3 linked regions of the Mus musculus genome follow. The protein of the gene in region 3 purifies or fractionates together with the protein of the main gene of each other region. This does not show direct contact. Links are inferred from orthologs where the notes say so. Each region holds a gene or a part of one and is shown on either strand. Other genes may lie near its edges. The genes, in order: Plin2, Sqle and Marchf6.

The links.
Region 1: the proteins of Marchf6 (region 3) and Plin2 purify together in Homo sapiens (affinity purification with western blotting; 3 studies listed by BioGRID). This does not show direct contact. The link is inferred for Mus musculus from reciprocal best matches to the Homo sapiens genes MARCHF6 and PLIN2.
Region 2: the proteins of Marchf6 (region 3) and Sqle purify together in Homo sapiens (affinity purification with western blotting; 4 studies listed by BioGRID and IntAct, with this or other methods). This does not show direct contact. The link is inferred for Mus musculus from reciprocal best matches to the Homo sapiens genes MARCHF6 and SQLE.

Annotation. Positions count from the first base shown.
Region 1 is NC_000070.6:86,667,250-86,671,509, forward strand, and holds the start of Plin2 (perilipin-2), read right to left. Parts: upstream 2,811-4,260; 5' UTR 2,696-2,810; intron 2,317-2,695; exon of another isoform or gene 2,197-2,316; intron 1,457-2,196; 5' UTR 1,431-1,456; coding exon 1,401-1,430; intron 1,314-1,400; coding exon 1,118-1,313; intron 1-1,117. UniProt on the Homo sapiens protein: Structural component of lipid droplets, which is required for the formation and maintenance of lipid storage droplets.
Region 2 is NC_000081.6:59,325,060-59,328,472, forward strand, and holds part of Sqle (squalene monooxygenase), read left to right. Parts: intron 1-975; coding exon 976-1,118; intron 1,119-1,510; coding exon 1,511-1,607; intron 1,608-3,413. UniProt on the Homo sapiens protein: Catalyzes the stereospecific oxidation of squalene to (S)-2,3-epoxysqualene, and is considered to be a rate-limiting enzyme in steroid biosynthesis.
Region 3 is NC_000081.6:31,528,184-31,532,569, reverse strand, and holds the start of Marchf6 (E3 ubiquitin-protein ligase MARCHF6), read left to right. Parts: upstream 1-1,532; 5' UTR 1,533-1,748; coding exon 1,749-1,767; intron 1,768-4,386. UniProt on the Homo sapiens protein: Endoplasmic reticulum membrane-associated E3 ubiquitin ligase that plays a critical role in mitigating endoplasmic reticulum stress, the regulation of cholesterol and lipid homeostasis, and ferroptosis.

The sequences.
Region 1 (4,260 bases), on a different chromosome or scaffold from region 3:
GGACTGGAACTCAAGCGGGTCAGGAAGCAGGAGCTGATGCAGAGGCCATGGAGGGATGTTCCTTACTGGCTTGCTTCCCCTGGCTTGCTCAGCCTGCTCTCTTATAGAACCCAAGACTATCAGCCCAGAGATGGTCCCACCCACAAGGGGCCTTTCACCCTTGATCACTAATTGAGAAAATGCCTTAGAGTTGGATCTCATGGAGGCATTTCCTCAACTGAAGCTCCTTTCTCTGTGATAACCCCAGCTGTGTCAAGTTGACACAAAACTAGCCAGTACACTCCTATAATAAATAATTAAATCTAAAAAAGAAAAAAGAAAAAAAAGAAAAGTTTGGGCGGGGAGCTAATTCAGTGGTAAGGGAGCTCAATACCCAGCCTGAGGACCTGAATTAGATCTGGTATTCTCTGAGCATTGGCACGGCATGCATCTACACACAAATGCATACACACATGCAGACACAAAATGTAAACACAAATGTAATCAAATTTTGTTTTTTCAATCTGCACACGCTGTATGAGAAAGCTAACTCAGGAAACCCCCTTGGATGATGCCTTTGTAATTTCAGTTATTAACACAAAAGTGTTTTGGAAATTTACTTTTTCTTTTCTTTTTGGTTTGTTGTCTTGTCTTGAGACACGTTCTCACTATATAGCTCTGACTAGCCTGGATTTTGTTAGGTAGACTAAAGTGGGCTTGAACACAAAGATCTGCCTGCCTAATTGGACTAACGGCACACACCCTCGAGTATAGGGTTGTTGTTGTTGTTTGTTTGTTTGTTTGTTTGTTTTTCCTTTTTGAGACACTGTCTCATACAGCCCAGGCAGCCTGCAGTTCACTATGTAGCCATGGTCTGCCTTCAACTGACACCTCTTCACCTCCCTTCAAAGTGCTGGGGTGTGAGCACCACGCCTGGCTGGGAAGTTTCTATTAGAGTAATAAGAGTGAGCACCGGTATGGCTGTGAAGAGCCCATCCGTGTGAAGGAAGGTCAGCAGACAGTTTCTGGGTAGAGGAGGGATTGTGCTTCAGGAAGGCCTGGGGGATCCCTGGTGTGACTTAGCACTCACCCTACCCAGTCCCTTGGGCTCAGTGTTGACCGCAGAATCTAGACTCACTTTGTGGCTCCAGCTTCTGGATGATGGGCAGGGCACTTGTCATGGCCGCAGAGGTCACGGTCTTCACGCCCTTCTCGGCCATCTCACACACGGATCTCAAATACGGGTACTGATCCTTTGTACTGACATAAGCGGAGGACACAAGGTCGTAGGTAGAGCTCACCAAGGGCAGGTTGGCCACTCTCATCACCACGCTCTGCAAACACGGAGGAGTGGATAGTAATGACTCAAATCACAAGAAAGGAAAAAGGACCAAGAAACGAATACTTAAAAAAAATCATACCTGTTGCGGATCCACTACTGCTGCTGCCATTTTTTCCTCCTGGAGAAAAGAGACGCCTGGAGAGAAAAGAAACTGGTTTCAGAACATTGAGGACCAATTCCTGTCCCAACCTAGGCAGGCCCACAATTCCAGCATAGACAGTTTCAGTTCCCCAACCCCACCCCTCTAGTTCAGAGCCCTTTTCAAGGCCAACAACCTGACTGGAGGCTCCAGGGCTGTTTACACACTTTCAATAGGAAAGAGTAGTCATTGTCCTGTCTCTTAAATGGGACACTAGAAATGCCTCTGAAATGCCTGTTCTCAAAAATGCTAACCCAAAAGGCAGAAAATTCCATTTAAACAGAAGACATCTTAGATTCCCCCAAACACCTGCCCTTAATTAGTTAATGGATTTATTTCTGTAGGCTTTCTGAGACAGTATTTCTCTTTGTAACAGTCCTGGCTAGCCAGGTTGGCCTGGAACTCACCAGACCTACCTGCCTTTGCCTCCCAAGTGCTAGAATTAAAGATGGCCCTTGCTATACTTAGTCTCTGCCTGTCTAAAGCCCAGGCTGACTCTCTCTACTCTACTTCACTAGTGTTGGTATTAGGTACAGGCCACCATGCCGGGCTCTCAGCATCAGGACTATCAAACTGATACTTGAGGGTGTTTACCACTCTTGTGAACAAGATTGAAACCAGCAGTGGCTGCCTTAATGCTGACTGAGCTCAAGAAAGTCACTCCAGGGAACTGTAAAATCTCCTATCCCCAGTGACCCACACCCACATGAAACTGCCTTCTGCCCAGCAACAGAACCTGTCTAGACTGCTCTGCCTCCAATCCAAAGTCCCAGTTCCTTAGGAAGAACTGTCCAGAAAGCAGAAGCTTCGAGCAGTATCTATACCAAGGAGCAGCCCATAAAATATCTCCTTCCGTTTTCCAAGGGTGAGGTGGGGCTGAGGCAGAGGAGGAGCAAGAGTTTCAGCCCAGCTTGGACCATAGAGAGCCTGCGGGCAGCCAGTGCTGCCTAGTGGGACACTAAAGGAAACCCAGACAATTCTCACTATGCACCTTATAAGTTCTTCTGTGAGGTGTTTCCATTTAAATAAAACCTCGACCGGACAAATGCAAGTTGCTCTACCACAGAAGGACGTGCAAACAGAAAGGAAAACTCTAGAACAAAAGCGAGAGCTTTCCCAACCAGCCCGGGGCTGCTCCCTCCCCCCTCCTCCCCCACCGACCCATTGCTGCAGTTCCGAGCCCAGTGCAGGCAGAGCAGCAGCGGCCTGAGGGCCAGATCTGGTGCAGGACCTACCTAACAGGAGAGCTGAGGGACGAGCAAGTCCGCACGGTCCAGATCACCACACAGCAAAGCGGCCAGAACGACTGTTAAAATATCGCTTGACTGCCCCGCCCAAGCCTCCGAGCCACGTGATAGCCCAGCTGCCTGGGGCCGCTGAACCCTGTGCTGGGCTGGACTGGGACTCTGGGGCCACTCATTGGGGATGAGGGCGTGGGAACCCCAACCTGGTGCCACAATATCGGGGGCCTCCTTGGTTTCCTGAGCCCAGTGCCCTGAGATCCCAGATCAGTACAAGAAGAGCAGGAGCCAGCCGGGGCGAGGCCTTCTGCTGTCTGACTTAGGTCAGGGGTCCTGAAAGCTGCATTGCAAAGATGCAGGGCGTCTTGGGGTTTTGGAAAATGCAGACAAATTAACCAGAGTCTTCAGAAAAGACCACTTCAAAACTGGAAGTTCGGGTTCTAACCTTTTACTTTAAGTCAAGAAAGTTACAAAGATGTGTGGAATTCCAACACGTTAATGACCTGTAGGGACTTCTGGTTTACTGCTCTATGGATGTAAACAATTCATCCATGGGATGTGGCGGCTCTGGTCTGTAATCCCCAGCCAGCACTAGGGAAATTGCGGCAGGAGGATTGTTGTGAGTTCTAGGCCAGAAAAAATACCGTTCTCAAAGAGAGACAACTTATCAAAAGCTTCTAATTAAAAGGTTGATCTGAATTTCCACAAGCAAAGCTTGAGCCTCTCTTCTGTGTTTTCTTTAGTAAAACAATTCCAAATTGCTCCTTAGTGATATCAGCCAACAACTAAGGAAGATGGCCAACTTTATCGTGACTTATGCAATATTTTTAAGTGGTCTGAATCATTTTTTAATCCTTGTCGAGAGGGCAGGGACGTGAACTGGGTTATTTGATCTTGAAAGTTGTACAGCCATCTGGAGTCATAAGGGTTCAGGGAATTTCTTTCCTGGAAAAAGATACAGGTGCAGGCCTTCTAGTTCCTTGCAAGGGAAACTAGAAGGAACAGTTGAAGATAGGAAGGAAGCTCTTGTGCCCTAGCTACATAGATCCCCTGTCACCAGAATATGTAATAAGAGCAACAGCAACAGTGCTGGGCCCTACTAACCGGGGCTTGTGGAAGGTGCCTTTGGAGCTATGGAATTTGAACTCTGGGCAGCACTCACCTCCACGTCAATCATTTCCCCAAAGTTGCATACACACAAGCGCTGCTTACTTTTTCAAAGGTCCAAAGAGCCAAACTGGCTTCATTAATATGTGTGCCTGAATCAATCCATTGCAGGCACTGGAAGACACCACCGTATAATTATAAAGGAAAAAGAAAAAGAAGAAATGTCTGGAAGTCCAAAGATGCTCTGGATGTTTTTATTAAAGATTGTGTTTTACATGCGTATGCATGTATGTATGTATGTATGTATGTATGTATGTATGTATGCCACATCTGTGCAGATGTCATCTGAGACCTTTTAGAAAAGGACATTGGATTGCTAGGAGCTGAAGTTTAGCTGATTGTGAGCCAAAGCACTCAGGAGACTGAGACAGGAGGATTACAGGTTTGAGACT
Region 2 (3,413 bases), about 28 Mb from region 3:
GCATCTATGGTAGCATGGAGTCACTGTTTGGGGCGTCCGAGGCTGGGAGCGGGGTTCTGCAGTAGAAGTGTGGCTGGGGAGGACATTGCTTGGGTATGAAGGTGATCAGTGGGAGCAGGGACTGAATAGGAACAGGGTCTGCAGAACCTGCTCCCAGGCTGCCTGAGACACAGTAGTATTTCTAGGAGCGCCAGGAGATCCCTGTAACTGGCATTTTTGGCAGGTGTCAGTAGTGATTGATAGCTGGCATATAGTTGTGTTTTAAATGTATATTTTAAAGGCTTATTACTTGTTTGGAGACAGGGTCTCACTGTGGACTGAAACTTACGTAGATCAGTCTGACCTCAGATTTACAGAGATCACCAGTCTCTGTTCTTAGTGCTGGAGTTGTGCCTGGCTAAGAATTTGTTTTTACTTACATGTGTATTTGCCATGTTTATGTAACACCTCAGAGGCTAGGGCATCAGCATCCCCGGGACTGGAGCTACAGATGGTCCTGATGTGGGTATTGGGAAGCACACTTAGATCCTCTGGAGGAGTAGCACACACTCCTACCTGCTAAGCCATCTCTCCTCTGCCTCTCCCTCCCCACTACCCCCTTTTCTTTTTGAGAAAAGGTCTTAACGGCCCAGACTGAAACCAGACGGCTGAGGATGACCTCGGTCATCTGTCCTGCCTCTGCTCTCAAGAGCTGAGATTATAGGCACACACCACATGCAGGGCAGCGTATGTGTTTAATATTTTTAATACTTAATTTTATCCTATATAGGCACTGGAACTTAAGGGTTTTTTGTTTGTTTGTTTTTTGGCATCAGCTTTGTTGAGATCCTAAGTTTTTCAGTTCAGCCACAGAAAGCAGATTTAATTAGAGTTTACTCTTGGCTATCTTATCTCCTGTCAATCACAGGTTTGTTAGCACTAACGTTTTGTCTCCAAGCTGTTCAGGATTTCATAGTCTTAGTTCTCTTTCCGCAGGCGTCCTTATTCTGGGAGATGCGTATAACCTGAGGCACCCTCTTACTGGTGGAGGAATGACAGTTGCTTTAAAAGATATAAAATTGTGGAGACAACTGTTAAAAGACATTCCTGACCTTTATGATGATGCTGCTATTTTCCAGGTAAGAGTCTAGAGTTTTCCTCCCACGGAATGGCTCAAAATACATCTGTTGATGAATGAGCAGACTGGGAGCCCAGTGGGAATCTATGCGTGTGTGCGCGTGGGGGGGCTTATGGTTCATAATGGTCCTTAGTCTTATTCAGGTATAAGCTTGACTTTCAAACTGCATTTTTATTGTCTATGGTTTAGCATATGTACAGCAGATTGGCCCAGCCCACTCTTCTCTGAGCTATAAGGTTAGCTTCAAAGTCATGTGGCCCATTGCCCTGAAAGAGTGTGGCACTATTACCTGCAGATAGGCCTTGGGACAGATAACTTTTTGAGGAGATGATAAACATTTACTTAAGCTTTTTTCCCTCCTGACTTGTAATAAATGATATTCTTCATTTTTAGGCCAAAAAATCATTCTTTTGGTCAAGAAAAAGGACCCATTCCTTTGTTGTGAATGTATTGGCTCAGGCCTTGTATGAATTATTTTCAGCTACAGATGGTAAGTATAGATAGTTTTAAGTGAAATGACTTGTAGACTTTTAAGTTTTCTCAGATAAGGGACCTACATTACCAAAGTTAGTAAAGTAGTTAGTCTATAACCACACATCACCTGACTACCCACTGCCATGTGGTAGTTCTTGTGGTGTCTCAGTGTTGAGAACAAAATAAAAGGGACGCCTGAGGTGGGCCTGGGGGAAGTGGGGGAGGAAAAGGGGCCTAAGGTCCGGCCAGAGCTCCTGTGCTCTGGGCAGGCAGACACAGGCAGAGCTGCTGGGCACTTTTCCACAGGGCCCAGGGTGAGCATGCCTGACCCACGTGGTGGGGGTGGAAAAGGGGCAGCCGCCGACCACACCCCCCCCCCCCTGCCCGGAGCTACCTTGCTAGCACCCCAGGGTTGCAGAAGAGAGGGAATAGAGGAAGACGTTCCCAACACTGACCAGGGTGCGCAGCGGGCCTTGATGGAGCAGAGCAGAGGCTCTGTGGTTTAAGAGCCTTATTATAGAAATGCAGGGGAAAGAGAGAGGGTAGGAGAGAGAAAAGAGAAAAGAGAGGAACTGGGGAGGTGGTAGAGGTAACTGGGGAGGAGTTTAGCCTGAAGGTCAGAAGCTTGGGCCATTGCTTACATGACTACTGACCATGCTTCTCTTGTGGGGGCTGTGGGAGGTTGTATCTTAGGTAGGGGCTGGAGTTCCAGGAGCATGAGGGAACCCCTATCGTGTCATGTAGGTAGATTATGACCATTGGGGTTCAGACCTCAGCTCGACTGGAGACCAGCCTGCAATTCCCCACATCTCAGCATCATGTATCCGCCCACCACTTCTTCTGGGGGCTGTTGGCATTCCTTAGAAAACACCCGTAGCAGTATTTCAGGAAGGTATTTGTTTGAGTCCTCTGGTCCAGGCTAGAGCATATATGGCCTCGCGTGGTATAATGTTGGTGAAAGGCCTTTCTGGCCAGCTTTGGGGAGGAGAAGCAGTGTGGTTGAGTTTCTTTGGAAGCATTATTTACAGCATGAATAGGCGCCTCTAGCCGAGGTTGGAGCTCCTTTCCTGCTACTGTGAACAAGAGGCTCGCATTGCAAATAGCCATGTGCATTGCTCTGTTTGCTCCGTTATAGACAAGTTGGCCATTCTAGGTTCAACATTCATAATAATGAAAATGTAAAATTCTAAGCTAGATGTGGTGGTGCATGCTGCTTCTCCTAGCAGCCAGGAAGCTGAGGCAGGACGATTGGGAGAGTAGCCTGAGCTACATACATAGTAAGATCTTATTTCAAAACAAATGATACTCTAGCATCTGCACCCCTCCCCAATCCATGTATTAAACTTGCAAAGTAAAAAAAAAATATTTAAAGAAACAGACAAAAATAGGTAAACATCTGAGATGCTTCAAGCTCCTTGGTTGAGTTTCTTGGTGCCCATTAGCAGAGAAAGTGGGACTGCTTCTCATAGACTCCAGCTATCCATCTGTCCCCTCTTGCTAAACTCATTCATTGTGATCTAAGACCAATCTGGACGAAATGGAATGGAAGTTAAAGTGGACTAATAAGAGGAAGAGAGTTCTAAGTTTTGAGTTTTTCTAAGCTATTGTCTGTTGCAGTAAATATTAATTGGAGCTTTCTACCCCATCTTACATTTAGTTCCCAAATAAAAGACACAAAGCCTTTCTATTTATAATAAGCCTTAAAGCCCTAGAGCTGGGCAGTTATCGTTCTCTGCTATTTTGTCTACTTCGCTGTCATTAACCCCGAGATATCACTTGCTATGTACTGCCTGAGTCACTCCTACTCCGAACTGGCCAGCCC
Region 3 (4,386 bases):
TGTGTGTGGAATCAGGAGCTGAGCATCTGCATGGGGCTAAACTTAGCTTTTTTTTTTTTTTTTTTTTTTTTGTGAGAAATCTCAAAGACAAACCTACAGGGACTGTCTTCTGTTGGGGGCTTTTTTTTTTTTTTTTTTTTTTTTTTGGTCTATTCTATTGTGTTCTAGTACATCAAGGTAGAAGAGAAGGAAGGTTAGAGGGAAAGGGGGATGTAGACCTTTTTGACTACTCCTGATCATTAGGGGCATTGAGTTTCTTGAGATCAGTCCAATCTTCCACAACAGGGCATCTCCAACGTCTCATTAAGCAACAGCAACAGGAGCAGCAGGAACCAAAAACCTCCTCCTCCTCTTCTGCTTCCTCCTTCTCTTCTGCCTCCTCCTCCTCTCCCCACTTCTTCTTCCTCAAAGCACCTCCCACTGCTCTGGAGACTGCCATTTAGATCACTCCCCTCCTAGAGTACGAGACAATCATAGTTAACGGTTGTGGCCCATCTGAAGCAGCCCCATATCCCACACCTGGGGTTAAAACAAAAACAGTCACATAACTTTTTTTTTTTTTTTTTTTTTTTGGTTTTTTGAGACAGGGTTTCTCTGTGTAGCCCTGTAGTCCCGGCTGTCCCGGAACTCACTCTGTAGATCAGACTGGCCTCCAACTCAGAAATCCACCTGCCTCTGCCTCCCAAGTGCTGGGATTAAGGGCATGCACCACCTCTGCCCGGCCAAAATTCCGTTTCTTGAATCTACTTTCCGTTATGTGCACGTTTAAGCATCCGGGTTGGAAACACTTTTCTTCTAATCTGTACTATCTTATTTAGAGAAAGCTCTAAGGATTATGTGAGGAAGGTGGCCTACTGATGCGAGCAGGTCTGAGTCTTTCATCATTCTTTCATCAGCCATTTAGTTCTGGCCAGGTAAGCTTCCCTTAATTGTGTCGCCATCTGAACCCATTTCCCTTAGAGGTAGATTCAATGTTGGCTTTCAGCTGTGAAGACGTGGTCTTTCCACTCAATTGCATAAGCCTCCCCAGGAGAGATTCTGATAACCTGGATGCTCGTCTTTTTCCATCTTAGGGATGCTTCTGTAATTCTTTCAGACGTGCCTCAGAACCACTCAAGAGCGGAACCAAAAATGCTCGTTCCGGGGCCGACTCTGAACGCCCCGGGAGTGGCGGTCGGGTACCCCAAGCTGGGACCCTTTGTCCCCCACACCCGCTCCGGCGGGCGGGCGGGCGTGCGCGCCGGGCTCGCTCCCGCCGCTCCGCGTTCCTTTTGTCCCGGAACGCGCCCGCGCCGCCGCCGCCGCAGCCGCCCCTCCGCGAGGTGCCTGCCGCCTGCCTCTAGGTTTTCAGTCTCCATCCCGCGCGCAGCCTTCGCCACCAGTCAGGCCGTGTTTCGCACCCCGCCCCCGCCTCCGCGAGCCCGGCGCGAGCGCGAGCGAAGGCGCGCGCCGGATGTGACGCGCAGCGCTCCGGCGCCCCGCCTTTTCCGCCGCGCGCCCCGCCCAGGCCCGTCGCTCGGCCGCGCGCCCCTCCCCCCTCCCCGGCGCTCGCTTTCTGTCAGTCGCTGTCCCTGTCCCCCTCGCCCGCGACCGGCTTCCTCTCGCACCCGAGCGCACGCACTTGCCCGGCCCGCGTCCTCTTCCTCCTCCACTCCTCCCGCCCGCCCGCCCGCCTTTCCCTTCGGGCCCCGAGGCTCTGCCGGGTCGCGGGCGCCTCGCGGCTGCGTCACCGCCGCCCCCCAGACAAGATGGACACCGCCGAGGAAGGTGAGGCGGCGGCGCCCGCGCCCTTGCAGCGGCGCCCGCGCTCCAGTCGGGCCGAGGCGCTCGCGGCGGATCCCGCGGGCAGTTTGCTTGCCCGGCGGGCGGGCGGGCGGGCGGGCGGGCGAGCGCGCGGCTCGAGCTGGTCCTCCAGCGGGCTCGGATCGGAAGGTGACCCTCTGCGCGCCCCCCGCCGGTTCCCGCGGGCGACGAGGACTCAGCCTCGGCTGGGACACTGGGGTGCCAGGACTTCGGTGTCCGAGACGTGGGGTGCCGGGACGTGGGACATCCCGGACGTGGGGGTGTCGCGACGTGGGGTGCTCGAGACATGGGGATGTCGGGAAGTGGGGCGCTGGAGACCATAGGGTGCCCGAGGCGTGGGGCTGCCGGGGACTTGACGGTGTGGAAGATCGGGGCCCCGGCCACCGCCATCCCGCGGTCCGCGGAGGAGGGGGCCGCAGTGCGAAGTCCGGGGGCGTTTCCACTCCCCTCCCCCACTCGTTTTTCCCCCCTCCGTGTTCGAGTCTGTTTGCTGTTGTCCTGTAGGCCCAACCTCTGCCACACAACTTCTTTGTTGACTTTGAAACTTCGCGGAAAATACCCCGCGAGGTGACGACTGCTGAGTGGACTGAACTGACCCCTGCTGCAAAATCTTGCTCTCTGTTTGCCTTACCCTAACTGCACTGACCAGACCCGAGAGGGGACGGTTTCTAGAGACTATTGGAGGAGGGAAAGGCGAATATTTAGGTTTCTTCTAAATCCTTGTCACCACAAAGCAAGGGTTTGTTTGTTTTGTTTGTGGACGTGTACTTTGGATGCGGTTGTTTTGAATTAGCAGAGAACACGAAAGAAAAGCAGCCACATGGGTGTAGAAAGCAGCCGCTTACCTGACGTTGTGGCAAAGTGTTTTAAAGCAGTTTTTAGAGGCACTGATGTATTAGTGAGTCTGTAGAGGAAATTATTGATCATGTACTTACTAGTGCAGATACTTACTGTTTAGATATATTCTTGTTCGAATGAGCGTTCTTTTCAACCTCAGGCTTTATTTTACCGACTTTACATGCAATCGAACCATCAAGCACTTGTATTGAAGTCATTAGAGTAATAAAAAGTTTAGTAATAATGTGATGAGTTGATTTTTTTTAAAAAAAAGTATTGTTTACAAAATATGCACAGGAGGATTGATTCACTTTGACGTTCCCGACAGCCCTGCGGGGTGGATGTGTGTTACCTTTCGTGGCTGTGGAAATGTAGGCTTATTTAATAGCTTGGTTAAGGTTCACACGGGTGGTAAGAAACAGTTGACCCTATTTTCATTGTTTGTCGCTGCCACTTCATTATGCTACAGTACGGTTCTATTCAATGAGTGAAGCTAGTTGCCATTGCAGAACTTTGGGAAAGAAACTGTTGAGGATTAACAATCGCCCAGGTTGATCTTGTGTTTACATCTCTGTAGGTTTCACAGCCGTTTATATTCAGTGCCTGTCTTTGTTTTGTTTGGTTTTTGAAATGAGTTCTCCATACTCCTCTGTTTCAGCATCTTGTACTACCATGCCTGGCTTTGATTCGAGTTTGTTTGTATTTTGCTCATATGTATTTAATCGTTGTTAAATGCCATGTGTGCTGGGACTCAAAACCTGGTCCTCTGTAAGAACAAGTGCTCTCAACTACACATAATCTCCTTTGATTTAAGTTTTAATGACTAAATCTAGCATCTGTATTACTTGGCTTTGCACTGACATATTATATGAAAACCTGATTTTTTTCCACCTGGGCAGTTAGTACTTCACAGATTTATGAAATGACCACAGGTATTAGTAACTCAGGAATTGAGAAACTGAGTGTGATGTCATGAAGGAAATGGTACTTCTAGTGCTTGAAGGTACTTTTTTTTTATTGGGATAAGATATAAGTGATGTTTTAAAAATCAATTTGGATATTGAACTCAAAGTAACTGATCACTTAGTGAGGACTCAGAGTGCTTTCCCTTTACTAACACTGTAGTACCTCTCAGGTTTTGGAAGGAAGCAACCTGCTGTTACACAGGTGAAGGAACTAAAGGTTAATTTGGATGAGCAACTTGCCCAAGTTCACTCAGGTGGCAAAGGCAGGAGAAAGAGTCACTCATGTCAGACCCCGTGTAGTTATTCATAAGTGAACTGGAGAGATGGTTCATGAGGCTCGTCAAGTGTTCCAGAGTGCGGTAACTTGTTTTTGTCATTTCCTTTGGAGGATGAATTATTAATATAAGCTAACAAGACCTTTGCCAGTATTCTCCTTCCACCGTATGGGTTCTAGGAGTTGAATTGAGGCCACCAGGCACCTTTCCTTACCTGAGGAGTCAACTCTTTAGGCATATGAAAGTGAATAGTAATAGTTTTCATGGCCATTTTTGTAAAGTTTTGAATTGAAAGGGTTTTTTGTTTGTTTGTTTGTTTTGTTTGTTTTTTTATTTCACAACTTAAAATTGACTTGAAATAACTGCAAGGGATAGATTCATGACAAACATTATAAAATGAAGGTGGCACAAAGCTTGTAAATGATTCTACTTGCTCAGTTACTGCAGGGTATTTAAAACAGTATCATAGAGTGTTTTGACTTGAATGCAAGAATGTGTGTGCACCA